2 linked regions of the Xenopus tropicalis genome follow. The protein of the gene in region 1 interacts with the protein of each later gene in a biochemical or structural test. Links are inferred from orthologs where the notes say so. Each region holds a gene or a part of one and is shown in the gene's direction. Other genes may lie near its edges. The genes, in order: asf1b and tlk2.

What was found.
Region 2: of the proteins of asf1b (region 1) and tlk2, one has a biochemical effect on the other in vitro, tested with the Homo sapiens proteins (3 studies listed by BioGRID). The link is inferred for Xenopus tropicalis from reciprocal best matches to the Homo sapiens genes ASF1B and TLK2.

The regions. Positions count from the first base shown.
Region 1 is NC_030679.2:134,219,990-134,235,452, reverse strand, and holds asf1b (histone chaperone asf1b), read left to right. Parts: upstream 1-5,362; 5' UTR 5,363-5,411; intron 5,412-8,319; 5' UTR 8,320-8,364; coding exon 8,365-8,473; intron 8,474-11,081; coding exon 11,082-11,197; intron 11,198-11,391; coding exon 11,392-11,568; intron 11,569-12,235; coding exon 12,236-12,436; 3' UTR 12,437-13,596; downstream 13,597-15,463. UniProt on the Homo sapiens protein: Histone chaperone that facilitates histone deposition and histone exchange and removal during nucleosome assembly and disassembly. Cooperates with chromatin assembly factor 1 (CAF-1) to promote replication-dependent chromatin assembly.
Region 2 is NC_030686.2:15,286,402-15,301,942, reverse strand, and holds the start of tlk2 (serine/threonine-protein kinase tousled-like 2), read left to right. Parts: upstream 1-5,524; 5' UTR 5,525-5,704; intron 5,705-13,749; 5' UTR 13,750-13,754; coding exon 13,755-13,835; intron 13,836-14,357; coding exon 14,358-14,429; intron 14,430-15,541. UniProt on the Homo sapiens protein: Serine/threonine-protein kinase involved in the process of chromatin assembly and probably also DNA replication, transcription, repair, and chromosome segregation. Phosphorylates the chromatin assembly factors ASF1A and ASF1B.

The DNA.
Region 1 (15,463 bases):
GAGATGCTTTAAATGCAAGTTTTTAATCAATATTTGGACGCTTCATAAAAAGTACTAATTTTAGCAGAGATCTCCAGTTTGGTAGGTTGGTTTAGAAATATATTTACCAATTCTGAATTTGTCAGAATATGTACTGTACAAAAACGGGTTAGCTTATTGTTAGGGGCAGTTTCTGGTGAAGACCAATTGCACATACTAAACGTTACCCTAAAATTGAACTACCCCTTTTAAACTGCTGTGAAATATTTATTTCTGTTCAGAACTATAGAAAGCGGGGAGAGACTAACCCAGATCAGGAGTTAGAGATCAAATTACTAGCTGACCAAGCGCAAGAAGATAGCTATACAGCAAGGGTCCCCAATCTTTGTTACTCAGGAGCCACAGTCAAATGTAAAAAGACTTGGGAAGCAACACAAGCACCATAAAAGTTCACGGAGGAGCCAAATAAGGGCTAAGATTGGCTATTAGGGGCCTCTATGCACACTATCAGCTTACAGGGGCTTTATTTGGTAGTAAATCTTGTTTTTATTCAACCAAAACTTGCCCCCAAGTCAGGAATTCAAAAATAACTCCTTGGTTTGGGGGCACTGAGAGCAACATCCAGGGGGGTTGGGGAGCAACATGTTGCCCCTGAGTCACTGGTTGGGGATCATTGCTATACACTATTTCCCAACCCCACTTTACTCAGTTGTTGGCAGACTACAAACCCTGTATACCTGAATGCAGTGATCCCCAACCAGTGGCTCAGGGGCAACATGTTCACCAACCCCTTTGGATGTTGCTCCCTGTAGCCTCAAAGTAGTTGCTTATTTTTGAATTTCTGGTTAGGAGACAAGTTTTGGTTGCATAAAACCCAGTGAAATTGCCACACAGAACCTTCTGTAGGCTTAAGGTCAACATAGGGGCTACCAAATAGCCAATTATAGCTCTCATTAGCACCCCTAGGAACATTTTTCATGCTTGTGTTGTTCTCCAAAACTTTGCTCCATTTGAATATGGTTCATGGGTATAAAAGGTTTGGGATCTCTGCTGTAATGTATTATTAAGGGTTGAAGCATTCTGAACGCTGTAGTCGGGCAACTTCAGCTCTGTATTGTTTCATGAACTCTTCCCCTTCCCCAGCTCTCCAGAACCAGCAACGCCATTATATATGTGAATTAACCCTCCCGCCAGCGTCTTACATCTCTAGCTCCCTGTGCTTTCTCTCTCAGCTTGGGGTAAGAAGTATTACACACGGCCTTTCCCAGCACCAATTGATCATGTTTTTAAATGACGTTGTTTAAGAAAGATATCAAGCATTGTGGCTGATCCTTTACATCCTCTCTATAATCTTTTTGCTTTATTGTCATCTGTAAAACGATATTGCAGCATTTGGCTTGAAATTGTATGATTGCACAGTAATATATGTACTTTATTATAATAACACACAAGGCTGAAAACTGAATTGGAAACAGAATTAAAATAACATGATTATATGCTATGGTGACACACTGGAAAATTGGAATTGTATTGATTTGCACATTACATTGCTGTTTGTATGCACAGTATTCACTTTGTGTTGTGTATTGTCCTTCTGAGGCTTGAAATGCAACAATTTTGTCCCACTGTGTAAGTTTCTTATATGGTTTCTTATACGGTTGAGATAACGGTTGACAATAAAAAGATCTGAATCATGTTTTGGCTTCTCGCATTTGATTACATTCTGATGCCCAAATTGCTCAAGCTCTGCCGGTTGAACAGGGACAGTTGGCGAACCAACAATTTCAAGTTTTGTCCTAAATTCTTAACTGGATTGATGCCTGGGTTTAAATGAGCCAATCTCAGACATTCACCGTAGCTTTGGCTCTGTGTTTGGGGTCTCTCTATCCCAGTCTCAGGTTACACACAGAAAAGCATTGAGACAACATGAAGCTACCACCACAATGCCAAACCTTGGGGCTGCTGTTTGGAGGGTGTTGGCTTTCTGGCACTCACAGCATTTTGGGCTCAGGCTAAAGGGTTGTTCTCATGAAAGCAAAGAACATTGTCCCACATTTTCTGTCTCCCCCACACAGGGCCGCCATCAGGGGGGCACAGCTGCAATTTTCCCTTTAAAAGGGGGCCTGGCTGTGTTACAGCTTTCTTAGTAGCTCAGGCCCCCTTTAATCAATTCTGGACCCTGACATGGGTGGTCAGCGGGTAATCCAATTGGTCGTGCCCCGTGGGTATGTGTGATGTCAGTACAAACGGGGAGCAACCTTATAAAAGGGTCTGTCTTCTTTTGCGTGCAGTCAGAAGTGCAGAGGCATTGCCCGGGAAGGCCGGAGGCGCAGAAGACAATGCTGGAGGGGCCTGTGATATCTGATGGTGACCCTGCTCCCACATGATTTTGGGCAAACTCTAACAGGCCTTGATATATTTTTTCCACATGGTGTTCTACTCATCAAAACATTATAGAGAATCCAGGTTATGGATGTACCATGGATGGTTCTATCAAGCAGAGTTGCCTTTAGACTCTTGGGTTACATCTAGGTCACCAAATATCTGTGGTTTTCTAATATTCCTTCCATTGTTATAATAATTTGATCAGTCTTTTTTTTGTTTAAAGTTTAGGATTTTTTTTTCTGCTCCTCCAGACTTGTTGTCATCCTTGGCCATCATGACGTTTGTTTTTATATATATATATTTTAACAAAGTGTTAAAAAACAATATGCAATATTATGGGATGCCAGACTTTAAACATGGGTATACTTTTCAGCCAATTAAGTAGCTGCTAAAGGCAATTGGATGCAGATTATTCTTTAGGTGTTTCATAGCAAGGGAGTAAATAATTATTAAGACTGGCTAGGATATGGGACAAGAACCCATAGGTTTGCAGCCATCCTCCTTAACCATTAGGCCAGGAGAGCAGCTGGGGAGTTCTTGTATCTCTGATTTAATCTCATCCATATTTATTCTCAAGTTTTCATCATGCTGTTCCATCACAACCCAGCAGCTTTATTGGTCAGAGCCGACTTATTTGAACCCTTCTTTGACCTCACTTTCTTGCCTGAGCATCGACCTCTGACAGCTTGTCCCTAGTTCTTGTTCCCCTTGCTCTTGCCTGTTTCGGTCTTTTAACCCTTTCCATCCTGCTTCTGCCTATCCTGACTTGTCAAATAGCTAGTCCTTGCCTTAAGGGTTCACTGCCCATCACATCCAAAGATATATAAATAAAGCCCTGAGGTTGTACTAGAATTTTACCTTTTCTCTATACCATGTTTCTTCTCCCATTATTAACACACCCCTTCCTAGTCTTTTACCTCATATCCCATTCCCTGAACATTTATCAGTCCAACTGTATCCCTTCTTGCCTTCCTTCTGTAACTTTAACCCTACTCTTACACCTCACTCCACAATCCTTTGTGTCCATCTTCCAACCTCTTTCTATCTGCCATTCTCTTCCCTACCCCACATAAGCTATTATCTGCACCTTTCCTTAACCCCTTTTGTTATTCTCTCCTGTCTTCCCTCTCTTGCTTTTCCCTTTCCATGTCATGCTCCGCAGTGTACATCCTTCCAGGGCCAGTGTCTCAAATATCCACAAGTACAGACTGGCCCATGTTATAAACAGTGCTTCAGAGAAATACCACTTTGTCCAGCTCAGGCTACAATATTCTGAGGGTGTTGGGGGCATAAAATGCCTTAGTCATAGAGGTGGTGCAGACAATAACTTTAGCTTTCCATTCAGCACTACCTAGATGTCACTGCACATCTAACTTCTCCCCTCCCTCCTCCTCACCTAACTGTGTAGCCAGTGCATGGGCATCTGGTCCCCCAGTCAGTCACATAAACAAGATTTTGGGGTGATACAAAGCTTGCCTTCATAACACGGTCCACAAAATGGCGCCTGCCTGCTTGCTTTGATTGAGAAATTCCAAGACGGAAGGAAACAAAATGTATATTATTTATATAGAGTAAGTACAGTTTATTTTGCTCAACTAACAATATAGAAAACAATTTGGACTTATTTCTTAGGGTGACAGGTCCCCTTTAATCCTTGACTAGACATAGCAGAGCCATTTCCCTCTCACACAGCATTAGAAACGATGAATTATGGCGTGAGCGCCTATAAAGGCTGAGGCGGTTACATCCGCCTCTAACAGCCATCTTGCGTTCCTTCTATCATTTTGTTGCACAGCAATTCCCAGAATTCCCTACAGAGGCTGGGGGGGGGGGGGTTAAACAAGCCTGATAGAAATATAAAACTTTATAGCGCAGCCTTTGTTTCTGTATGTATGTATATCTTTATAAAGTGCTACTTATGTACGCAGTGCTGTACAGTAGAATACATTAATACAAACAGGGGGTTATTAAGATAATAGATAAATACACAGTATAACAATAAATACAGATAAATACAAGATACAGTTGCAATAAGATAAGAGTCGAGGACACAAGAGGAAGGAGGTCCCTGCCCCGTAGAGCTTACAATCTATATGGGAGGGGTAACTTACAGACACAAATAGGCAAATGTAAGTGCTGTAGGTCACAGTGGGTGACACTTCAATATAAGTGCCAGTTCCCAGTATAAATACATATACTGCCCACACTGCTGAAGCAAGGTTGCCACCTAAGCAGTAAAAATGATGCTTGATGCCAACCTTATTAATAGGGAATATGCACACAAATAAATGAAAGCCTGTATTTTTTTTATCCAGAAAAAATGCTTAAGGTGTAAATAATGGTTTAGTGCAACAAAACAAATATATGGCAGGAAAATGTTTACCAGTAAGTACCCTACTCGGCCGCCCCTAGTCTGTTTCCGGTTCCGTTACACCCCAGCTTCACAAGTGCGTCATGGTATTTATCAGCGCCCCATTACCTACCCCACGCATTCTTACTTCCCGCGCAATACCTGCCTATCCGGAAGTTGCGTCAGCCTAAGCCGGAAGATAATGCCCGACGCGGGAACGAACGTCAAACGGCGCGGGAAGCAAACACCGTGCTCCAATCAAACGTGAGAGCTACTGACAAGCCCCGACCATGTGACCAAAGCTGGTAGAATCAGCGGCCATCTTTAATGCTGGCAACGACTTCGAACGGCTTTTAGACGTAGGAAGCGAATCCGTTTAATGTACTGGTTTGGTAAGGCAGACTCGGCTGTACGTGGGGGAGAGCCATTATACCCCTGTTTACAGGCTTGCATAGATAGGGGGTGATTATGCGTTTCACACTATCCAGAAGCGTCATTGGTTGTTGCTTGACGGTGAGAGGGAGGGGCTTGCGGCTCAGAGGGGGCGGGGCTGGGGGGCGCGTTTGGAGTGAGGTTGTAAGCGAGGCGCGGGAGACAAAACGGAGGGCGGGAAAGAAGGAGCGGGCTGTTTGTGACGGTTGTGTGGGACGGAGCGGTACAGCCGGGCATACCGGGGAAGGAGGAGACGCCACAACAGGTGAGTGCTGTTTCCTTTCTACTCCGGGCTGTCAGCCCACTCTTACTCCCCCCATGCCCACCTTGCTGGTGAACTACAAGTCTCTGTAGAATATTAACTCGGGGGCCACAGGCTGAACTAATAGTCCCTACCTGTGTGTCCATAATCCCCATTTCCCTGTACGTGTTTACTCACAGGGGCGTGGCTAATGTGTGCCTATAACTTATATAGGAATATACTTGTATAGGGAGCCCTCAGTCTTGCACTTGGCCAACATCCGAAAATAGTTTAATGCTCAACATACAAATTGTATCACTAGTTGGCATAAAGGCTTGCACTTTATTTCTGTTAAGCTTCTGTGTGTCTGTGGCTGCTGGGAGTTGTAGTTCAGCCCTGGGGGCTGCCTGATAGGGGTAACTAACTGATAGGGGTAACTAACTGATAGGGATAACTAACTGATAGGGATAACTAACTGATAGGGATAACTAACTGATAGGGATAACTAACTGATAGGGATAACTAACTGATAGGGATACTTAGTTATGGCTTTGTACAGCTCTGCAGTATGTGTTGGTGCTTATAATAACCTGTTACTATTATTATTGTGAGCCTCCTCCTGTAACCGGTTATTGGATGAAAGTCCTGTCTGAGCCCAGTGTGACACCTATATAGAAATAATTGCTACTTCGGTTAACATTGCTTTCATTGGAATGTGAGTAGCATATTTAGGGGATCCCATTGTTAGTATTGGGGCTCATGTTGGCAGTAGCCAAGTTGGGGCCCGTGGGCCAGATCTAAAGCTGGCCATAGACGCACCAATAACATCGTACGAAACCTGGTTTCGTACGAAATTCAGTGCGTTTATGGCAAGTCGGCGAGTCGACCGGTATCGCAGGAAGCTGCTGATATCTGTCGACTCGCCGACCAGCAACGTCAGAAGATTTTGATCGGGGGCCATAGAAGGCGCCTGACCAAAATCTCCCTTCGGCGCTGAATCAGCAGAAGGAGGTAGAAATCCAATTGTTTCTACCTCCTTACCTGCAGTTTCAGCGCTGAAGGTTAGTGGCGGATCTGACAATCTTTCCTGCGACCGATGGTTGCACAAAAGATCGCAGATCGCCACGTGTGTGGCCACCTTAAAGCTGGCCATACACGTGGCGATCTGACGATGTTTCGTTCAACCATCGGTCGCACGAAACATCGTCAGATCCGCCACACACTATTCAGGGCTGAATCGGCAGGTAAGGAGGTAGAAACAATAGGATTTCTACCTCCTTCTGCCGATTCAGAGCTGAAGGGAGATTTTGGTCAGGCGCCATAAAATTTTCAAACTGGTCCGGTCGGCGAGTCGGCCGATATCAGCAGCTTCCTGCGATATCGGTCGACTCGCCGACATACCATACACGCACTGAATATCATACGAAACGAGGTTTCGTACGATATTATCGGTGCGTGTATGGCCACCTTAAGGGATCTATGTGCCCCCCACGCTCCTCCCAAAGGCCCCATTGGCCCTCAGACATGTGCTATAAGAAGTAACTGTCCCACTGCCTGTAGCGAGTTGAATGTGGCTGGTCATTGGGGTCATTTCACAGTATATCGTACCCACAGGGCTTCCCTTTGTTGCTATAATATGCATACACCAGTAACTCTACCTTGTAATGGGGGGGATCTGAACATGTAATGCATGCTGTAATATGATAACAAGGCTTGAGTAGGAGACATCATAGAATTGTCTGTTAACCTGACAGAACAGTGGGAACAGCACTGCCGGCAGCGCAAACAGACGGCTATTGGGCAGCATTAAAACTTCCCGTGCCATTGCTTCCTACTAGAGAAACGCTCAGTTCAGGAGTTGGCCAAATCCAGGCACCTTTTGCAGGATTCAGCTAAATACTTGGGGGAATATTTATCATGCTGTGTAAAAAGTGAAGTGAAGCATTACCGGTGATGTTGCCCAGGGCAACCAATCAGCAATTAGATTTCAACAGTTAGAAAACCAAAGCAAAACATCTGATTGGCTGCTATGAGCAACATCACTGGTAATGTTTCACTCCACTCTTTACACAGCATGATAAATATACCCCTAGGTGTTCATTCAACCCCTTAGTTGTGTGCCTTTAAAGCTTTGGGCAGCTAAGTGTGACATGTGTTTTTAGTTTATGGAAGGTGACGTGGTTTGAATTTTTCCCATATTTTAAATTCGGTGTTCGTCTAAATGCAGAAATGATTGACTCGATGCATGGCAGGATCTCACTGTAATGTGTCTGCGACTGATTCCAAGGAGTGAAGAGGATATTGAGCGGAATAGAGAGGAGTCCCCTGTTGAGCAAACTGGGAAATCCAGCGACTGATTTGTGGGGTGCACAGCCGAGCTTATTTCTAATTGACTTTCAGATATCAGGATGAATGGGGGGGAATAGAGGCTAAGGAAAGGGTTTGTGCAGTGTAAGGGTGAAGACACACAGAGCTACTAGTTGCAGCAACTTGTCGTGGCTACTAAAATAGACAATGCTGATCATTTACTGATAGTCTGTGTGTTAGCAGAGGCAATTCTCAGTATTGTCTATGTCAGGGGATTTTCTGGAGTTTAGTTGCCATTAAAAATAGCTGCTACTAGTAGCTCAGTGTGTCTTCACCCTTACACACACATAGGCTTCTTGTATTTCTGTTAGAGAAGGGCAAGTACAGAGTATAATAAGTGCCAGAAATGCAATTCAGAATGCAGTTTCTCACAGAAAGACTGCCATACCTTTTCACTTAAAGATATATGCTCTTGAAATGCTTTTCTTTAGGAACTGCTGATTTTCAAACTTATTTCCTATTTGTTTCTAGTAACCTATTTAACCCTTGCAAAAAAATTAATGACCAGATTTTATAGGTCTCTCTCTTCCTGTTTGATTGTAAACACGTGTTACATCTCTTTTAGCCCTAGTGACATAACATCGCTGGCATTTACAGCTTGGGAGGCATCATGGCAAAAGTACAGATTCTCAACATGGTCGTGCTGGATAACCCCTGCCCCTTCCACAACCCTTTCCAATTTGAAATTACTTTTGAATGCATAGAGGACCTGCCAGATGGTGAGTGACTGTTATTCTCATCAAGCATGCCTTTTTAGATGTTCCCAACATGGGAGATTTAAGATGGCCATACATGGTCCTGTTCTAGCTGCCGATATCTGTCCTTTACACTGATTTGGCAGCTTATCTGCCTGTGTATGGGCACGAACAACGGGCCTAACCGACCGACATTGGGCCTGAAATTGGCTAGATCTCGATCGGGCAGGTTTGAGTGGGTGGGTATATATTAAAGGTTGTTGTTCACCTTTAAACTAACTTTTAGTATGACATAGACATTGATATTCTGGGACAATTTGCACAGTGGTTTTTGGTTATTTAGCTGGGTTCACATGCTCTCCAGTTTAGAATTTCAGCAGCTCTCTGTTTGCTAGCAACTTGTTTACCTTAGTAACCAGGCAATGGTTAAATGAGAGACTGGAGTATAAAAAGGAAAGGGGTTCAATAGAAAGCTAAGGAATAAAAAGTAACAAATATATAAGATCAGTTGTGAGCCCTCAGAGCAATAGTTGGCTGCCCCAAGTTCATTGAACCCCATTTGAAAGCTTTTAAGATGTAGAATAGAAAAGCAAAGAATACAAAAGCTATACAAAATAAATGATGATGATGATGAACTGCAAAGTTGCTAGGAATAGGACATTCTGTAACATATTAAAAGTTAAAGTAAAGGTGAACCACCCCTTTATGGGGATTGTAAAAATAATATAATACAATTTTGCCTCATAAAAAAAAAAATATACATCTAAGCAACTTTTTAATAGTTGTAAAAGTAATAGCTATTGAAGGCAGTACCTTGTTCTGACTATTGAAACTCTTGTAAAAGCCAACACCTTCTGCAAAGTGATGTGCAGGCTGGCTCGGACCCACAGGTTCTGGCCGACATTGGCACAGCAGAAGTGGGTTGCAGACGGGTTCAGGGCGAGCTCTTAGACTGCCTTGAGCACGCGCCTGCTCTGACCCCTCTGTGATGTCGGAGATTGGAAAGGCGTGGATCTATAAATATATATGGATCTGTGGATTGGGAGCAGATGTGTTAGGGTTGATGCGAGGGGGGTAGGAGCTGCCTTGAGGTGGGGGGCCCTGGTGGGCCCCTGACACCCCAGTCTGACATTGGTTGAGAATATCAAGAGACACTTGCTGCTTCAATAGCAATTACATTTACAAGTAAGTTGAAAACCGCTGAAAATCTGTCAGATACATTTTGACATGATAGGAGAGTTTGTCACTTGCACCCCCCCTGGCTCTCCAGCGATAGAGTTTGAGGCTCCCTCGGCACCCTCCACTCGACCACCCCTCAACTCAAGGAAAGAAATGAGCGCTGGCAAATAGCAGGACAAGCCCTTGCAAATGTTATTGCGGAAGTGCAACTTTTCAAGGCAAATTGGGTTGAGAAAGGCATTCTTTGTCCTGAAACGTTGCACTTCTACAATAACATTTGCAAGGGCTTGTCCCTTTCCTTGTACAGCTAAATATTAAAACATTGCTCTAAAGCAGGGTTCCCCAACCTTTTTTACCTGTGAGCCACATTCAAATGTAAAAAGAGTTGGAGAGCAACACAAGCATGAAACATCTTCCTGGGGTTACAAATAGGGGCTCTGATTGGCTATTTGGTAGGCCCTGTGTGGACTGGCAGCCTACATGAGGCTCTGTTTGGCAGTACATATGGTATTTATGCAACCAAAACTTGGCCAAAAGCCAGGAATTCAAAAATAAACATCTGCTTTGAGGCCACTGGGAGCAACATCCAAGGGACTGGAGAGCAACATGTTGCTCACGAGCTACTGGTTGGGGATCACTGCTCTCTAAAGGTTTCGACCTAACTGAATCCTGCAAAAATGGCTGTGGTTTTGGTTGACACCTTGAATTCAGTGCATCCCTGTTATGCATTTATATATTTTTGACAATTGTGGTGTCAGAGCTCAAATGGCCAGTATTGAGCCCAGCAGTGAAAATGAGCACAATGAATGAATGAATGAATTACATTTTTATTTCATGTGAAAAACCAATGCTCCTACATAATTAGATGCCATTGTAGTCAGAAAAAAGCTCCCATGTATGTGTGCATGTATAATAATGCAGTACTGGGGCAAGCAGTCAGATAGGGCTCCTAAAGATCAGTTCTCACAGTGCAGTTTGTGGTGGGCAATGTTAAGGTTTCAAGAACATCCCCAGTTTTAATGGTTACACTCTGGGCAGCTTGGTCACTGCAGATGTCACATACAGTATATGATGGTATGCGTGCTGTTTCAGCTTAGGCTATTCTAATTATCAATTACTTTGATGGTTTTTCCAGCTATTGCTTTTAGATAAAAAAAAAAATACATTGCATGTCTTCAATTATTGATAAACTGAAAATATGTTTACGGTTTTTGTCTTTATGCCTAAAATATGCATTTACCCCTTCACTGCTGCTCCTCTACTTTGTAGTTGGTACAAGTGGGTGTTCAGTGAGAAGTCTGGCAGATTCTCCCCCCCCCCCCCCCCCCCCATATGCTCCTTGGTTTTAAACCAGACAAGCAAAACTTTATTGAATGCATTAATCGGGTTATATGGGTGGTTATTCGCCAGCAGTATTGTCACATTTATTGTATGCTATGCACTGTCTCATTAGATCTGGAATGGAAGATCATCTATGTGGGATCTGCTGAGAGTGAAGAATATGATCAGGTGCTGGATTCTGTCTTGGTGGGACCTGTCCCCGCCGGCCGCCACATGTTCGTCTTTCAAGTGAGTGTCAAAGAGCTGACATTCCATTTGTCTCCTATCTTGCTTATTTACAGAGTCTTGCATTAGATCAGATTGACGTGAAGTCTTATTAATACATCTTAATTGACTTACCATGGACTGATATGGAGGATTTTTTTCTTTGTTTTATATTTTTAGATTGAGCACCTATAGTAAATTTCTCTCTTCCTATGCAGGCAGATGCTCCCAATTCCAGCCTTATCCCCGAGTCCGACGCTGTAGGAGTGACTGTAGTGTTGATTACTTGCACGTACCGTGGTCAGGAGTTTATCAGAGTTGGATATTATGTAAACAATGAGTATTCTGATCCAGAGCTACGGGAGAACCCACCTCTCAAACCACATTTCGGCCAGGTATTTACATAACTTGTGTGTCTGTGTATGTAAGGCTTTTTGATTAGTATTGTCAAGATCGGTAACCCAGAACAAGGGTCCCGGTCATAGCTCACACTTCTGCCTATAACGCCCACCTTTGGCTTCGGGTTGAGCCCTCCACTACTCGGGTGCCGCCAGGTCTTAAGGTGAGAGGGAGCTTACAAGAATCCAAATCAGGCAGGCCGGGTCAAAACCTGAATGGTAGCGCAGTACACAATCTGGATCCAGAAGCAGAGTCAAACAGGGAGAATTAACTCAGTCAGGATACAGGCCGGGGTCAGAACAAGACAGGACAAAATGCGTACCCAGGAACTATGGTAGGTAGACTTATAACAGGCATGGGAGAAACTAGGAGGTAGGAATTCAAAGCCTAGATAATTACAGATTCAAAACAGGTGTTGGTAAATAAAGGGAGCACCTGTAGCCATCATTCCTGCCTGGATAACTAAGACTATTATTGAAGTGAACCAGGAACCCAGCAGCCAGGGGGGCTGGGACTGATACCACCAATTGGGAGGTCCCTGGGAAAAGTTAGGCCCACAAACTGCTTGTGGCATCTTGCAGGTTTTGGTGTTGGCCTGCTTGCCACTCTGGTTTAGATGACCATTTGTCCAATTTTTTTTTTTTTTTTTTGATCTATCTACAGCTTCAGAGAAACATCCTGGCATCAAACCCACGCGTCACACGCTTTCACATCAACTGGGAATGCGCGAGCGAGGCAAAGATGGAAGACATTGAAAACGTGGACCCTGCCTCTAATGCAATGTTGCCTCCTAACTGTGCCCCGTCTAAGGGTCTTGCAGCTGCACTTAACCCAATCCCAGAGAATTCCATGGACTGTATGTGATAGCAGTAACAGAGGGGCAATATGGGCTGCAGCAAGGGAAACTGCCACAAACTCTCTACCACAACAGTCTCGGCTTCCTGTGAGCACTCTACAATCACTGCCAACTTAACACTTCTGTCGCTCCAGAGTGTCTAGCTTGCCGGTAGTTCCACTCACCAATTAGTAGGATTTTTTTTTTTTTTTACACAAAAGCAGTCTTCCTCTCGTAACGAGACAGATCTTCCCGCCTTTCGCTCAGCAGTATATTATTTCAACTGAAAACTTCCAACCTTTTAATGTTTCAGTGTTTTATATTTCCAAAGCTACCAAGGCCCATCCATTTAAACATTTTGTTACACTTCATTCTTTCACACTGCTATCTTTGTCTCCTTTTTTTCTTTTCTTTGAGCCTGTAAAAGTAAGGCTCTGAGCTGAATGTAGTGGCCCTGGAGTCCCTAACAGCATCAGTTTATAGCTTCCGTGGGTACCTTTTGCCCGTCGCATTATTGCCACCTCCTCTACTGAGGCATGTCGGTACATTCAGCGAGGAAGAGACTTCATTTCCTGCAATTAAATCTCTCTGCTGCCTGGTGCTAATTAATCATGCTGTCACTGACCTTAGATAAACATCGGCTTTGTGAGCCATTGCTGGTAACTTGTTTGAAGCCGGTTTGTCTTTGGGAAATGCAAGATAAGGCATAGAATTTAGCCTAATTGCAAAAATGGTCTTGCATGAACTGGCACATTTTCTTGCACCCAACATGCTAGGAATCTTTATCTACCGGACAGGTACATAAATGAGCAGGATTGCTCTAGTGTTCTCCAGGAAATTGCAAGCATGGCTGTGGACCCCGCAGCCACTGCAACAGACTGTTTTTGTTTTGGTTTCTTTTGTTTTTTTTCCTCTAAATATTACGGACTGTGGCTTTCCAGCCGAAATAAATTACTATCTCAAGGTCTTGAGATATTTGGGGATCCCCAGCCCCACAAATAAGGGGGAGGAGGCAATAGATATGAGTCCTCCCCAAACTCCAGGAGCCTCTCTTGTTTTGTATTTTTGTTCAGCTGCCTTAGCTGGATGTAAATGGTTGATGGCCATTAATTTCCTATGTGTTTTTTTAAAAAATTATTATATATATATGTGAGTAGGAATTTGCTTAAATAAAAGCACTTAGAGCAAACAACTGTGAACTTGAATTCTGATGGTAACTTTATTGCCCACATTATATGTATTACTGAGCAGGGCGCAGTAGTAAACCACCTGGAAGACTGACCGCATAAAGGTGGTTTTAAGGTCCCCATACACAGGCCGATTGTAGCTGCCGATATCTGTCCCTTGGACCGATTCAGCAGCTTATCGGCCCATGTATGGGGCAGGAACGAGGGCCCTGCCCGACCGATATCTGGCCTGAAATTGGCCAGATATTGATCGGACAGGTTAAAAGATTTAGATTTGCCCGTTGCACAGGGCCAAACGATCGAATTAGCCTACATTTTCCCCGATATCGCCCACCCGTATGTGGGGATATCGGGAGAAGACCGCTCGCTTGGTGACCTCGCCAAGCGAGCAGGTCTTAGTGTGTATGGCCACCTTTACACAAGGGTGTAGCAACCATATGGGAAGCCATTTATTGTTGTTGGTGTGGCCTCTGCCAAAGCAGTTGACCTGTAATGAATTCACATTCTTATAAGTATATAGAGCCAATTTTTTTGGGAGTGCTTGAGAGTAAATTTGCAGAGCATTGTCCACTTGTACTTACTAGAGCTGTGATCCCCAACTAGTGACTCATGAGTAACATGTTGCTCACCACCCACTTTGATGTTGCTTGGCGGCAAAAATTGGGAGCACAGAGACCGTTTTACTCCAAACAAAGCTTCCTGCAGGCCACACGGGGCTTATTTGGCATCCCCAAAGAGCTCTCTCTATACTTGTGTGGCTCCTGAGTAAAAGGTAGGGGATCCCTGAACTAGAGGATCATATTGGAGACCCATGTGACCATGAACCTGCATCTGAATCCAGATCTTCTCCAGAAGGGATTTTACATTCTGTTTAATCAGCGTACAACCCCAAAATGATTTATGAAGCTTGAAGGGGACAGTGTTGTGCCGACAGGCTGCAATTATCAACCAGTAATGAGCAGCTAATATCTAGAAAACATAGGCATCAAATGAGGGCTCATAGCTGGCACAAGTTTGAAAGTAGGGATGCATCAAATCCAGGATTCGGCCGAATCCATGGTCCTGGACGAATCTGGATCCTAAAAATCACATGACTTTTTGGCACATAAACACAGTAGTTGAAAAGTTTTCGCCAGCAACATTTATGCCTTTCAAACCCTAACTAGCATACGCTAATTACGATTTGGATTCTGTTCACTATTCGGCTGAATCCTTTGCAAAGGATTTGGGGGTTCGGCCAAATCCAAACTTTTTTAGATTCGACGCATCCCTAGGTGAAAGCAGGTTGGGAGTTGTAGTCCAACAACTTCTGGCGACCCAAGATTATTTGTTGAGGATCTTAAAGGAATAGTAACAACAAAAAATTAAAGTGTATCAAACTAATATTATATGTACTGTTGCCTTGCACTGGTAAAAGTTGTGTATTTACTTTAAAAACCCTACAATAGTTTATATAAATATGCCCGGGGGCAGCAGTTCAAACTGAAAAAAGGTAAAAGGGCCCAGATTACATAGCAGATAACATAAGCTGCATAGAGTCCCATTGTATTGTATAGAGCAGTGCTGTCCAACTTCTGCGGTGCCGAGGGCTGGAATTTCTCTAGCATACATGGTGGAGGGCCGCTAATGGAAGCCAGTTTTGACCACTCCCACTTCAAACCACACCCATTGGGCTACACAGCGGGGTATTTATATAAACTATAGTAGGGTTTCTGTAGCAAACACCCCAGCTGTACCAGTGCAGGAATGGCTGCCCCCGGGGCTACACAGCGGGGTATTTATATAAACTATAGTAGGGTTTCTGTAGCAAACACCCCAGCTGTACCAGTGCAGGAATGGCTGCCCCCGGGGCTACACAGCGGGGTATTT
Region 2 (15,541 bases), on another chromosome or scaffold:
AAACAGACTCCATGAGGGTGGTATGAGGGCCCAACGTCCACAGGTGGGGGTTGTGCTTACAGCCCAACACCATGCAGGATGTTTGGCATTTGCCAGAGAACACCAAGATTGGCAAATTCGCCACTGGCGCCCTGTGCTCTTCACAGATGAAAGCAGGTTCACACTGAGCACGTGACAGACGTGACAGAGTCTGGAGACGCTGGGGAGAATGTTCTGCTGCCTGCAACATCCTCCAGCATGACTGGTTTGGCAGTGGGTCAGTAATGGTGTGGGGTGGCACTTATTTGGGGGGCAGCACAGCCCTTCATGTGCCCGCCAGAGGTAGCCTGACTGCCATTAGGTACTGAGATGAGATTCTCAGACCCCTTGTGAGACCATATGCTGGTTGGCCCTGGGTTCCCCCTAATGAAAGACAATGCTGGAGTGGCTGGAGTGTATCAGCAGTTCTTGCAAGACGAAGGCATTGATGCTATGGACTGGCCCGTCCGTTCCCCAGACCTGGATCCAATTGAGCACATCTGGGACATCATGTCTCGCCAAAATATTTCAGCCAGCACAAGTAAAGTGCAAGCAGGGCTTAGCCCTTGCGTGTTTATTCAAAATGCAATACCTGACGAAGGGGTACGCCCCCGAAACATTGCATTTTGAATAAACACGCAAGGGCTAAGCCCTGCTTGCACTTTACTTGTTGTGCTGGCTGAAATATTTTGACCGGACTGTGTGAAGAGTGCCGACTCTCTAGGCTGTGCACCAAGTAGTAATTCTCTGGAGGAGGTAAGGGTGTGCTGGTGTAAATATTTTTCCTACATCATGTCTCGCTCCATCCACCAACGCCACGTTGCACCACAGACTGTCTAGGAGTTGGTGGATGCTTTAGTCCAGGTCTGGGAAGAGATCCCTCAGGAGACTATCCGCTACCTCATCAGGAGAATGCCCAGGCGTTGTAGGGAGGCCATACAGGCACGTGGGGGCCACACACACTACTGAGCCTGTAGTGTTTTTTTCCACTTTCATTTTGAGTGTGACTCCAAATCCAGACCTCTGTGGGTTGGTTAATTTGATTTCCATTGATACATTTTGTGTGATTTTGTTGTCAGCACATTCAACTATGTAAAGAACAAAGTATTTAATAAGAATATTTCATTCATTCAGATCTAGAATGTCTTATTTTTGTTTTCCTTTTATTTTTTTGATATATATAATAGTGGTATAGTACAGCAGCACAATGCATTAACCCTTTAAGTACCAGCAGAATTTCACATGTTATGCTCAGTGCCAGAACATTTTATGCTCTCTCATTTTAGGGTCATTTAATTGGAGGGGTAGTTTAGGAAAGGGAAACTATATATTGTTTTCTTCGAAATCTGCGTTTTTATATACACAGTCTGTGTATTTCGACTTCTGGAATAAGATTTAGAGCTCTAATCAAAAATTGGTACTTATGTATTTCTGCTACATACTGAACAGTTTAATGCCCATTGTGCATATGATTACCAAAGCATCTGGCATTTAGAGACCCATACCTATACCTATATATACAAATTGCCTTGGAGATCATTTCAGCTACTGACAACTCAACACATGATGCCATTTGTTGCGGGGTAGGAAACCAAAAAAATACATTGACCCCCCCCCCCCAAAAAAAAAAATCATATATTTTTGGAAAGTACACATTTGGATGAATTCAAAATGGGCTCTCATGTATTTCTACTCCAAACTACAGTTGCAATGCTTTCCCAAAATTGGCAATAAAAGCACCCTAAATATATAAGCCAAGGATCCAGTGAACAGTTTGATGCCCATTGTGCATAGGGTCACCAAGGTATCTAGCAATTAGAGACCTCAAAGTGAGGTTTGTGCACACATATTTCATGGCATATATTTCTAATACCAAAAAATACACCACCTAATTTATGTGTTGTAAAAGTGGGAAATAATTAAGTTGACCCCAGACATCATATATACAAATATGCCTTTGTAGAACAAAGCACCAAACAGCAAAGTTAAGTTAAATGAGGCAATTTTTAATTAATTTCTGAAAATTGTCTCAAAGCTTGCAATTTACTTCATTCTGTACCCCATATTTCATAACGTACCAACACAAAACATTCTAAATATGAATGCCTACTGAACAGCTTGATGCCCAGTGCATAGATTTATCAAACTATAGAGGCACCCAAATGAAAACAGTGCATTTGAATTTTTACGCCTGACACTGGCTGCTGCAGTATAAGCACCCAGTATGTGTAAGTCCACATTCTAATTAAAAAGAATGGGTAAACACATCTTTCTACTGCAAACTATTACTGTCTACAAAGCTATGCTAAACATGTTTTTTATGAATTTTCTGTAACTTCATGTGTCTTACTTCCAGTTCCACTTTCCAGTGCACAGATAACCCCCTGCATAAGGCTCCTGCTTATATGCACACTTCTATTGCAAAAGATATATAAGACATATCATACCTCCCAACATTTGAAAAATGAAAAGAGGGACAAAAAGACTTGGCGCGCGCAGTGCGCCAAATTTCCTGACCACGCCCACTTTGTGTGGCCACGCCCCAATTGCCACTCCCCATTTTTAAAAAAAATACTCCTTTTATATAGATGAAATGGCGGGATCAGATGCAAATGTGCTATACCCTCATACTGTACTACCTAAGGAAAACAATATAGCAACTCCTACATATAAAATACAAATATAGAGAGAAGGCAGTCAGTTATAAGTGAGTTATAACTATGTACCAGTTTTGCCCCCCCATACACAGTGCCCCCATACACAGTAGCCCCCCATACACAGTACCCCCCCATACACAGTGTCCCCCCATACACAGTGTCCCCCTATACACAGTAGCCCCCTATACACAGGTGCCCCCCCATACAGAGTAGCCCCCCCACAGTGTCCCCCATACACAGTAGCCCCCCCATACACAGTAGCCCCCCCCACACAGTGTCCCCATACACAGTAGCCCCCCATACACAGTAGCCCCCCCCACACAGTGTCCCCCATACACATTAGCCCCCATACACAGGTGCCCCCCCATACACAGGTGCCCCCCCATACAGAGTAGCCCCCCCACAGTGTCCCCCATACACAGGTGCCCCCATACACAGGTGCCCCCCATACAGTGCCTCCATACAGTGCCTCCATACATGCTGCAGCTTCTTCTTCAGCGTTCCCTCTCTATATGTGGCTCCTTGTTCGGCGGAGCCAGGTCCTTTTATAAGGTTGCGCCCGTACATGCGTGCGTGCAGTGTCATACGCACGGGCGCAACCTTATAAAAGGATCTGGCTCCACAGAACAAGGAGCCACATATAGAGAGGAGCCACTGGGGAACGCATACCTCCCAACATTCGGCAATTTTTTTGACCACGCCCCCTTGTGTGGCCACGCCCCAATTACCACACCCTTTAAAAAAAAACAAAAAACTCCTTTTATATAGTTGAAATGGCGGGATCAGACGCAAATGTGCTATACCCTCATACTGTACTACCTAAGTTATACGTGAGTTATAACTATGTACCAGTTTTGCCCCCCCCATACACAGGTGCCCCCCCCACACATTAGCCCCGCCATACACAGGTGCCCCCCATACAGAGTAGCCCCCCCCATTCACAGGTGCCCCCCCATACACAGGTGCCCCCCATACAGAGTATCCCCCCCATACAGAGTATCCCCCCCCATACAGAGTATCCCCCCCCATACACAGGTGCCCCCCCATACAGAGTATCCCCCCCATACACAGGTGCCCCCCCATACACAGGTGCCCCCCATACAGAGTATCCCCCCCATACACAGGTGCCCCCATACAGAGTAGCCCCCCCATACACAGGTGCCCCCATACAGAGTAGCCCCCCCATACACAGGTGCCCCCATACAGAGCCTCCATACATGCTGCTGGCTGCACGTTAGTCCTCCTCTTCAGCGTCTCCTCTATATGCGGCTCCTTGTTCGGCGGAGCCAGGCCTTTTATAAGGTTGCGCCCGTGCGTGCGTGTGACGTCAATACGCACGGGCGCAACCTTATAAAAGGCCTGGCTCCGCCGAAGGAGCCGCATATAGAGGAGACGCTGAAGAGGAGGACTAACGTGCAGCCAGCGCGTCCCGCTGTCGGGATAGTTCCATGAATGTCCCGCATTACGGAAATGCGGGACATTTATGGAACTATCCGGGACAGCGGGACGCGCTGCCAAAACCGGTACTGTCCCGCAGAAAGCGGGACAGTTGGGCGGTATGGGAACGCCTGACTACAGCCAACGCGTCCCGCTGTCGGGATAGTTACATGAATGTCCCGCATTACGGAAATGGAACTATCCGGGACAGCGGGACGTGCTACCAAAACCGGGACTGTCCCGCGGAAAGCCAATCAGATGCTTTGCTTTAGCTGTTGAAATCTAATTGCTGATTCGTTGCCCTGGGCAACATCACCGGTTATGCTTCACTCCACTTTTTACATAGCATGATAACTATACCCCTGAATGTATTTATATAAATATATTGTATATTTAAAAAAAAATATATATAATATAATATATATATACAGCATATATGGAAAATTATATGTCACAAGACACATATCCATATACACAAGTATTTAGCACATCCTTTGTTGTGTTTACAGGAACGGGTTTTATTAATTAGTATAAGATGCACAAGCAAGTTTAGACTGTCTACACGTGTCTGCAAGTGAGGTTTTCAAGCAGCACTTGTCTGCTTGCTTCTGATTGGCCCAATTTCTGCAAAAGTAAGGCAATGACAGTGGGCCATTCTGCTGGCCACACCCACAGTACCCAATCAGCACCATTCCCTGCCTGCAGACCCGCCCTTCCTGAGTGGGTGGGGCCGGCAACTCACACGTGCTGTATCTCGGCCACTCATTACTCTCTTCTTCCTATATTTTGAGTTCTCGCGAAACGAGGCTTCGCAGCGTCCCGCCCCTGTCTCTCCTGGGTCCAATCGCAAACCGGTTTCCTAGCTTTACTTTTAGGGTGGGGCGTAATGTTCTTATCACGTGATCCCTGTTGGCCAATGGTATAGTGCGTTTCATAACTCCCTGCGAGGCGGGAAAGTTTGCGCGGTCCCGCCCCTTTACACCCCTTGCGCGCCACCTGCTTGGGTAGACTTGGCGCGGTTCTTTTTTTACCTCTCGTGAACGCGCAATTGCCCTCGCCCCCCCCCTTTCTTTCACTGAATCTCGCGAGAAAACCAGCGGTTTCACTATCGTGTTTACACTAATTAAACCCATTACCCCCGATAATCCGAACCGAGCCGATCCGGGTTAAGTCGGGCGGGTGGTTCCGGAGCGGGCCTGGGCCCGTAAGAGCAGAAAATTCTCTAACGTCTCCCGCCCTCCCACAGTTTGACTTATATTCCCAACATTTCGGTGGTTTTTGAGGTAAAAAAATCAAAATAATCGATCCCCTCACTTAAAAAAATATTATAATCCCCATCACCCCCCTGGGAAGGGGGGAACAACCACTGGGGGGCGCCTTCCCCCTCCCGCCCCATCTATGACAGGCGAGCCGGCGCCAGGAGGGTGGGGCGCGGGGTTCCGCGCTTAGGAAAGCTCGGGGATTTGCGGCCTAGTGGTGTGAAGCTTGGGAGCCGAGCAGCGAGAGGAAGGAGCGCCATCACCATCCCCCCCGAGGGGACGAGGCACGAAAGTCTCCCCAAGACCCGGGGGCCGATCCACTGAGGGAGAGAGGTAATATCATCTCGGGGAAAGAGGGAGGGCCGCGGGCATCCTATACACACCCAGGGCCTACACCCGAGCATCCTGCAGCCCCTTCTAACTCCCAGCATCCTCTTCTAACTCCCAGCATCCCCTTTATAACTCCCAGCATCCCCTTTATAACTCCCAGCATCCCCTTTATAACTCCCAGCATCCCCTTTATAACTCCCAGCATCCCCCTTATAACTCCCAGCATCCCCTTTATAACTCCCAGCATCCCCTTTATAACTCCCAGCATCCCCTTTATAACTCCCAGCATCCCTTTATAACTCCCAGCATCCCCCTTATAACTCCCAGCATTCCCTTTATAACTCCCAGCATCCCCTTATAACTCCCAGCATCCCCTTTATAACTCCCAGCATCCCCTTATAACTCCCAGCATCCCCTTTATAACTCCCAGCATCCCTTTATAACTCCCAGCATCCCCTTTATAACTCCCAGCATCCCCTTTATAACTCCCAGCATCCCTTTATAACTCCCAGCATCCCCTTCTAACTCCCAGCATCCCTTTATAACTCCCAGCATCCCTTTATAACTCCCAGCATCCCCTTCTAACTCCCAGCATCCCTTTATAACTCCCAGCATCCCTTTATAACTCCCAGCATCCCTTTTATAACTCCCAGCATCCCTTTTATAACTCCCAGCATCCCTTTTATAACTCCCAGCATCCCTTTATAACTCCCAGCATCCCTTTTATAACTCCCAGCATCCCTTTTATAACTCCCAGCATCCCCTTTATAACTCCCAGCATCCCCTTTATAACTCCCAGCATCCCCTTTATAACTCCCAGCATCCCCCTTATAACTCCCAGCATCCCCTTTCCTTTGCGTTCAGGGTATTTGCTCTGCCCCCCAACATCAGAGGGGTTCCTTGACAGTACCTATAGGTAAAAGTACCCTAGGCGTGATACCTAAAAGTTAGTGACTGTTAGTGACTGTTTCTAGTATGAGAAATAGGGATTTTCAGGCTGCAGCCCACTAGTTATTGCTGAACTGCAACTTTCCACTTTGGACTGCTGTAAGTTTTGCATCTTAGACACTTCCTATCTATAAAACTACCCTCCCCAACCCAGGAGTCAGTCCCTGCCCCAGTGGAGCTTACAATCCAAGGTCCCTATCACATTCCCATCAGTCCCTGCCCCAGTGGAGCTTACAATCCAAGGTCCCTATCACATTCCTATGTATGTATGTATGTATATCTTTATTTATAAAGCGCTACTTATGTACGCAGCGCTGTACAGTAGAATTCATTAATACAGACAGGGGGGTTAAAGATAATGGATAAATACAAAGTACAACAATAAATACAAATAAATACAAGGTACAGTTGCAATAAGAGTCAGAAACACAAGATGAAGGAGGTCCCTGCCCCGTAGAGCTTACAATCTATATGGGAGGGTAACTAACAGACACAAATAGGCAAATATAAGTGCTATAGGTCACAGTGGGTGACATTACAGTATAAGTGCCAGTTTATCAGTCCCTGCCCCAGTGAGCTTACAATCTAAGGTCCCTATCACATTCCTATCAGTCCCTGCCCCAGTGGAGCTTACAATCCAAGGTCCCTATCACATTCCCATCAGTCCCTGCCCCAGTGAGCTTACAATCTAAGGTCCCTATCACATTCCCATCAGTCCCTGCCCCAGTGGAGCTTACAATCTAAGGTCCCTATCACATTCCCATTAGTCCCTGGCCCATTGGAACTTACAATCCAAGGTCCCTATCACATTCCCATTAGTCCCTGGCCTATTGGAGCTTACAATCCAGGGTCCCTATCAAATTCCCATCAATTCCTGCCCCAGTAAGATTACATGCATATATGGGTACGGTCAGTTTTATCAGGAGACCATTTAAGCTGCCTGTCGGTGTTTGGAGTGTGGGAGAGGAAACCCACATAGACAAAGGAAGCTAGTGCCTTGGCTCTTGAATTAAATGTAGGACCCCAGCACTGCAAGGTAGTCATGGTAGCCGCTGTGCTGTCTATTCATCACTACAGAGCATATTTAATGTTCATCCCAAACTTTGTTAATGTAAAGCAGGGGTGTCCAGACTTTGTCACTCTCTGATCTACTCTTGCCACCTAGCCTCCGTCAATAGATCTACCATAGTTAAAATAGTGTGTCTATCATTTTGCGTAATAAGAAAAAGTATCAATCGATGTTTAACAAATACACATAGCAATATAGAAATGCAGTCCCAAATTTACATTTAATGCCCACATAACATTATTCAAGTGCCAACTTCAATGTGAAAGGATTGTAGTAATTTTTACTTCCCTTCTTCATTGCCACTTTGTAGTCTGCACTCAGAAACATACAGTATATAAAGTAGGAACAAATATATACAGTGGCCCAGTGGGGACAATCTTCTATATTGGGATGAAACTACAAAGACAGATGGCTTGAGCAGCCACACTCAAGGCAACTTCCGCGATTTCGGAAATTTGCGGCGCCGCATATGCCATCCCACCGGCGATTTACATTCAAGCCAGTGGGATGGTATATAGGGGAGATTTGTCGAGGACGACTAATCCCCCGTCTATAGCTGGCCATACACGTGGCGATCTGACGATGTTTCGTGCGACCATCGGTAGAATTATAATTGTTTCTACCTCCATATCTGACTATTCAGCCCTGAATGTCAGTGGAGGGTGGGAACAATCTTTTGGGTGACTCGTTATTGCTACGTGTATGGCCACCTTTAGTGTGATGAATCATCCAGTTGTTCGTATAGCCTGTACCATTGCTTGCCATTGTCAGGTTCTTTTGTGGTCAGTTTGATTCCTGTTGTCAACACCACTCTGTTATCTGTGTAGCTTAGCTTATAAAATATAAAGGATGAGGCCACATAATATTGTTTGGACATAGAATTCCTTCACTGTATATATAGGTATAGGATCTATCATCCAAAATACGATATTGTCTGGTTGAAGCTAGGAAAACTGTGAGTAGCTGCCAGTTTGGCCTTGCAAACAGTTGGACAATGGATAAATGTAATTGTTGATGAAGAAAATTTTCAAACCTGCTCGATTGTTTTTCAGATAAAAAATCACTAGATGGTCTATTGTTCGGTGCCCACCAACCTTATGATTATTTGACAGATTTGTTGGATTGCACTAAAATTGGCCATTAGAGAAAGATAAATCTTAACGTGTATAGCCACCGTTAGTCTGCAAAAATAATAAACAGTAAATAAAGCCAATAGGACTGTTTTACCACATATATGGATTCATGCAACTTCAAGTACAGTTTTATTATTACTAAGAAAAAGGGAGTCTTTTTCAAATTTTAAAATTATTTGCTTATAATGGATAATTCGGCACTCTCTGGATCATGGGTTTCTGGATAATTGACCCCATACCTGTATACAGTTTGTCTGTGAGTGAGCATATATAAAGAATGATGCTGCAGCACTCATTCACCTTTTTCACCTTTGCAAATGGAAGTGCCACAGCATCATTCTTTATATATGTTCTGTTACCCCTGGAAAGGGTTTTAGCTGCTTGAGCACCCATCCAACAAGTATAAGCTAAGGTGGTTGTTGCTCTCTTGATGACTGTCTGTGAATGAGCATGGCTGGCTCATAGTATTTTTTTTTAAACTGCAGTCTATTGATAGTTGCTAAATAGTGAAGATGATTTTTCAGAATGTCACTACTGAGGTTAAAGCTGTGGCACTTGAGGTGGCATTACTCTGGGTAATTGAAAGCTCCCTTATGTAATTTACAAGGTTGATTTTTTAGTGTTTTACAGACTATTTTGGGATGTTTTCCAGTGTGACTAGTTATAGATTGGCACTCATAAGTTAACCATATGTTTGGTTTTAAGAGTTATTTCACCATCTTTTTGTACAGCATTTCACCAATTAAAGCAGGTCCAGATACAATCATTGTAACATATACAAAAGGACTGCATACTATTCATATCTGGAAGGCTTTATAGACTGTAAGAATGCATCCATAGACCTTTTGACCAATGTATTGATTTTTTTTACCACACATTGACATAAACTTATAGCTCAGATCTACTAACATATCATAGAAAATCAGTGGATGTTGGCTATTTTTTCTTTTCGCCAATAGTTTTTTTTCAAGATGTCACCTGACTGCATGGAATGCTGGGATTCAATTTAATTAGAGATGCACCGAATCCAATTTTTCGGCTTTGGCCGAACCCCCGAATCGACCGTAAGGGATTCTGCAGAATACCGAACTGAATCCGAATTTGGAAGTGTTACATGTAAGCGGATTTGATTTGGCCGAATACCAAACCGAATCCTGGATTCGGTGCATCCCTAGATTAAATTACTGCTAATATTTGAGAATCATTTTTCCTCATAAATTTGATTGAAATTAACACATTTGGGATTTTTAAAATACAGCCAGATTCTAGATTAGTTTATTAATCAGCACAGTGGAGATTACTCAAGATTATGCCAGATAATTAAACTGAACCACACAATATTTGAGTGCCCTTTGTTTTCCATTGGATGTGCAGTTAGATTCCATATCCTCATGTGCATAAGGCTTTTAAATCAGAGAGGGTGGCAAAGGTATGCAGTGAAGGAGAGAGCCCTACCATAAAGGCCAAAACACTAAATTCATGTGCTTGCTTTTAGAAACTTGTGCAATCTTTTGAGGTGGGGTGGCATGTAATTTTTATTCTTGTGGGCCCATAAACAAAATATATTGTGAACGCATGTTGCCAGCTAATTTGGCATGGAACTGGCTGGCAGATGAGTGGTTGAAACACTTATTTTGTCATGTTGCTTTGATGTACCCCAGAAAGTACATTTCTTAGTTTATTCAAAACTGCACTTACAGTAAGAAATGTACTTTCTGGGGTACATCAAAGGAACTGAGGTTTTGCCATGACAGGGGCAATATACACCTGAGAACACTTTGCTATGTAACTATGAAAGTTAGTGTAAAAAATAAAACGTTTGCAAAAAATGTATATTGCCTATTCTTTTAACTAAAAAAAAAAAAAATTTTTGCAATTATAAATGCTAATGGAAATCTTTTTGTTTTTCATACTCTCGCCCTTTCCCACTGCAAGCTGGGTAATTTGTTCAAAGGGAGATAATGAGTGCTGTATAAACAGACCCTAAGCTTGTGGCCTTTATTAGCCTTTGACCTATAAGGAGCAGCTCATTATACAGAGACCTGCGTACTGCTAATTAGAGGGATGAACATTAGTAACTGCATATAAATCTGTTCGCCGCCCTAAATAAGCCACAGATCAACCTCCGCATTGGAGGTTTGATCACCCTATTCATTATTACATCAAAAGTGCTTGTTATGAGAGATGTAAACCCAAAAATAAAACTTTTGCCAAATAATAGAAAATGACGATTAAAATACAATTTGAATTGAAAGTGCTGCTAGGTTAAACAATGTAGCAAAAGTCAGCTTTGCATGCTTCTTCCTGGATCTTTTAATTAGCTTGTTTGTCCTACATTGTTTAAAAAGTCAAAACCACCAGGGCAGAAAAGGATACATTGTACTTCAAGTATATTGAAAAGTTGCTTAGAATTGAATTTTCTTTTGCCAACATTTTATTTTTGGATTTACATCCACTTTAATCACCTATATATTATCATCTTTCATACAGCCCTTCTAGCCATTCATGTAGAGTATAAGGAGCCGCTCTGGTCTGGGGCCACGCTCCTGCCTTTTGGCATTTAGCCTGCTTCCATTTTAATGTTCTTGTTTACTTCTTTAAATCACTACCTGCACCGTGTGAAACCTCATACATACGAGCATGGATATTTAATTTATATTAGTGCAGCACAACTGAGCAAGTGGACTTGTGTGGAAGGACAGATATTACAGAGAGGAAGAAAAGTAGCCAGGATCCAGGGCTGGCTATAAGTTTCCCTCACTTCTCTTTGGTAGCAGCTGTTAGGCAGAGGTAAAATGGAGTCTGCTCCTGGAGAGAGACAGCAAAACAATATAGTCACAGCTCAGGGTAGTGAAGGGGGGGGGGGGAGAGAAAGAACTTATTCACATATTCCCTAATAGGAATGCGAGGAGGAAAGCAGTGCATGTGAAATAAATGAAATGTGTGCATTTTCACATGTGGTTTCCGCTGTCAAAAAAAGAGGCTTTGTCCACATTGATTTACAGTTAAAGGTGGGGGGAGGTGCTAATCATGGAGGGCTCTTGCCATAGTCACACTGAGGGTTGAGCCCTTTTTTATTATTCTGTGTGATATAGATGTGAGGCTTTGTGCCAGTGTGGCAGCATGCAGTCTGATAGAGACGGCATAAGGTAGTCCCCTCTCCCTCAATCCTCCAATTCCGTTACAGGATTCAATTTAGTCTGTGTAGTAAGTGCCAATTTTGTAACAAAGGCCAAATACATTGTCTTAAACCATTTTGTACATTTTTAGTTTTTTTTTAGTTTTTTTTTTTTTTACAGTTTTTTAATAAAGGTGTCAATTGTAAAAGGAATTTTCTTGGGGGCCTTGCTGTGCTTAATTATTTTATCTACCAGACATTGTGAGCAAAAATGTAGAGTCATGCAGCTTAGTTGGGATCAAGGTCAAGGTGTTATTTTACTTTTATAGAAAAAGTAAGTCATTTTGAAAAATTAGAATTTGCTTAAAATGGACTCTGTGTGAAATGGCCTTCTAGTGATTTGAAGCTTTTTGGATGACTGATTTCTGAATAAGGCATTCCATACCTGTATTTTATAATAGAAAATGTAGTTCCTTGCCTCATGCCCCATTAATGTTGATAAAGCAATTTTCTTTTCCTAACTTGAGCTAAATCCTTGTTTCCATCTAGTTCAGGGTTGTATAATTTCTGCTCTTGTGCTTTGTTTCTGCTTTATATTTCACTTATTTGACCTCTGTTGTTATTATGCCCACTTGCTGCAGTACTAAGCATGCTGTAACGTAATAGTGTATTAGGCATTCATTTTCTAACTATAACTTTGTAGTGAAATAAAAGCAGATTATAAGTAAGGGGCTGGGAATTTATTTCCTCAATCAATTTTGTACATCTGAATGTATATCTGAATTCCTGCTAAATTGGTAAATCTGAGGGTTAACAATTTACTACTATGTTTAATAAATTAATTTGAAAGTGTCTTCAGTTTTTAAACAGAAATTCAGAGTGGCCCCCCACATAGGTCCCAGGTTACTATCAGGTTGCTGGCTGATGGTGGTCCTGTCAGCTGAGTCAAATTTTCCCAGCTGCTAAGGCCACTGGCACATGGGTGTTTTGACTAAAACAGTCATTAATACCCTGTTACTGAAAAACAGCACTTTGTGGGTGCCAGCAGTCTGCTATATAGGCAGATACCAGCTGAGACGATTGCTGTTGAACCCACCATGGGTAGTTTGGGGGGAAAGCATACCATCCTATATACATTGGCAGCACAACACATGAGGCTACAGGGACATGAGGGAGTCACATTGATGCCTAGTGGGGCAGTCTGTCATACTGACAGGTTAAGGGAAATTAGTGTAAAGTTTTGGGGACTAGCATGCCAACACGCTGTTCACCACCTGACTGCCCAGCATGTCTGAATATACCCGCATATGTTTATTTCATTTAAATCACTCTAAATCATTGTTCTAGTGCAACTGGCTCCTGTTTTCCTAACATCCATACTGGGATAAACTAGGTTGAGGAGGGGAGCAGGTTGCACATTTAAAATTGGTTGTGGAGTGAGGAAGACCTTGGCAAATTTTAAAGTAGAAGAAAGTACTGATCTTAAATCAAGGTCAAGTTAGGAAGTACATAGAAGGGCAAATGCCATGTTAATTGACAACACAGCTCCTACTGAAACATTTTCTGGTATTTAAGTGTTCTAGCATGTATGTTTATGCTCTTAAAAAGATGCCTTCTTCTGTACCTTATTTCTGACTGTGCGTGCCTTATTGCTTCCATAAAAACATTTCTTAATCAGTTTTGGGTATTTCCTTTGTTTTCAAAATGTGTGTGAAACTGTCTTAATAATAATGTGTATTGCACTCACAATAAATAGTGTTCTCTATTTATGTCTTTACAGTGGAAATGATGGAAGAGTTGCATAGTCTGGATCCAAGGCGCCAGGAATTGTTGGAAGCACGGTTCACAGGGGTAGGTGTTGCAAAGGTAGGTATGATGTTCTAGTTGCCAGTAGATGCCAGAGTTTGAAACCACGTTTTAGCTGAGTGGATTTCCTAACTGTGATCAGAATCTTCCCAGTAAGACAAAGGGTATTTTAACTTTTGTTGGCTGAGTAAGTAAGGAGAGACAAACTTGATAGTAAAAGTCTAACTTATTTCCATGTAGACAGGCCTTCACAGAGTTTGTTCCTTTATGCAGCTGTCTTGTTTCTTCTGACGTTGGAGTTGTAAACATTGTACTTTCCTTGAGTCTAGTTTATCCTAATAATTTTTCTAACTTATTAAAAGCTGAATTTGTATATGTTTATAGTGTATATTTTGTGTGTGTATATATAAATATATATATATATCATTGTCTAGCTTGCTCTTTTAGGCTTTGTGCACTTAGTATAGTACAGTTCTTATCCATTGGACTTTGAGTTGCATGTAATGATGTTTAACATAGACCCAATAGTACCATTGTTATTGTAATTATTATTATTACAGCTTTTCTTGCTTTACTTTAAAGGCTCCTTTAAACAGTGAATCCTCCAACCAAAGTCTTTGCAGTTTGGGTTCTCTGAGTGACAAAGAACTTGAGGTGAGCAATTCTATGTCCTGATATTGTTTTTCTTTTCTACTGTGCTTGATTTGAATTCCTAGAAGATTTGGGTTGGCATTAACTTAAGGTTAATGATATTATTGGGCTGCACACAAGGAAATTTGTCACCAACAGGGAATCTAGGCTACCCGAGGGTGACACATCTCCTGAAAATTCTTTTACCTTACCTAACATTGGTATCTGCAGTACTCATATGGGCCACTGCTAGAGTCACAGTTTACAATACAGCCTAGAAATAGTAATTTATTATAGGGTTTGTTTGTTTTTTTGAGGTACAGTGTTTAGTATTGTTGCTTTGCAGGTCTAAGCTTTTGCTTTTTATATACCCAGGTAAGTGATCTGTGGGAGCTTATGTGCTCCCTGTATAGTTTAATGTACCAGGGGCTGCACAGAAAAAAACGCAGTGGTAGTTTAGTTGATACTGACCTTTCTCTCTGCCTATTTCAGAGGCTGGGAGATTAGAATGTAAGGCCCTTTTTATAATTTTTGGTTCATAGGTGTGTTATCTTTAACTTTCTTGCCAGTCAGGTCAATTAAGTAGTTATATCTTGTTTATTTATAAAGGTATAAATATTATTGCCATGTCTTTCCATAAATGGTTGGATTTCTGTCCTCATTGCCTTTGTTACTTTTTTGCAAAGACAGGTTGATCATTTCATTCTAGTATAATCGCAGTAATAAGCTGTTTAGTTCCTGTGCGCCTGCTACTTCAGGGGTAGGGATGGTAGTCATTAACCTTTTATGAAAGATATGGTTCCTGGCTGCAAAATACTTGCCAGTTAGTAACAGTTTCATTTGGTATCTGTGATAAAAATTCATTTTTTATGCCAAATGTAGTGTTATAAGCAAAGAGGCTTACAGGGAATCTGAGCACATGAATGCTCTTTTTAGTCTGGCAATTACTTTTTCCTCCATTTTTTTTTTATTTAAACCAATGCTGTCCTACTTCTGTAGTACTGAGGGCCAGAATCCTCCCCTGTGGATAGCACAGCAACCCCCAACATATAACTACACACCTTAGGGACCATATAATGACTATTTCCAAATGCTAAAAAATCCCAGAACAAACCCCTGCCAGGTTCACCTCCCAC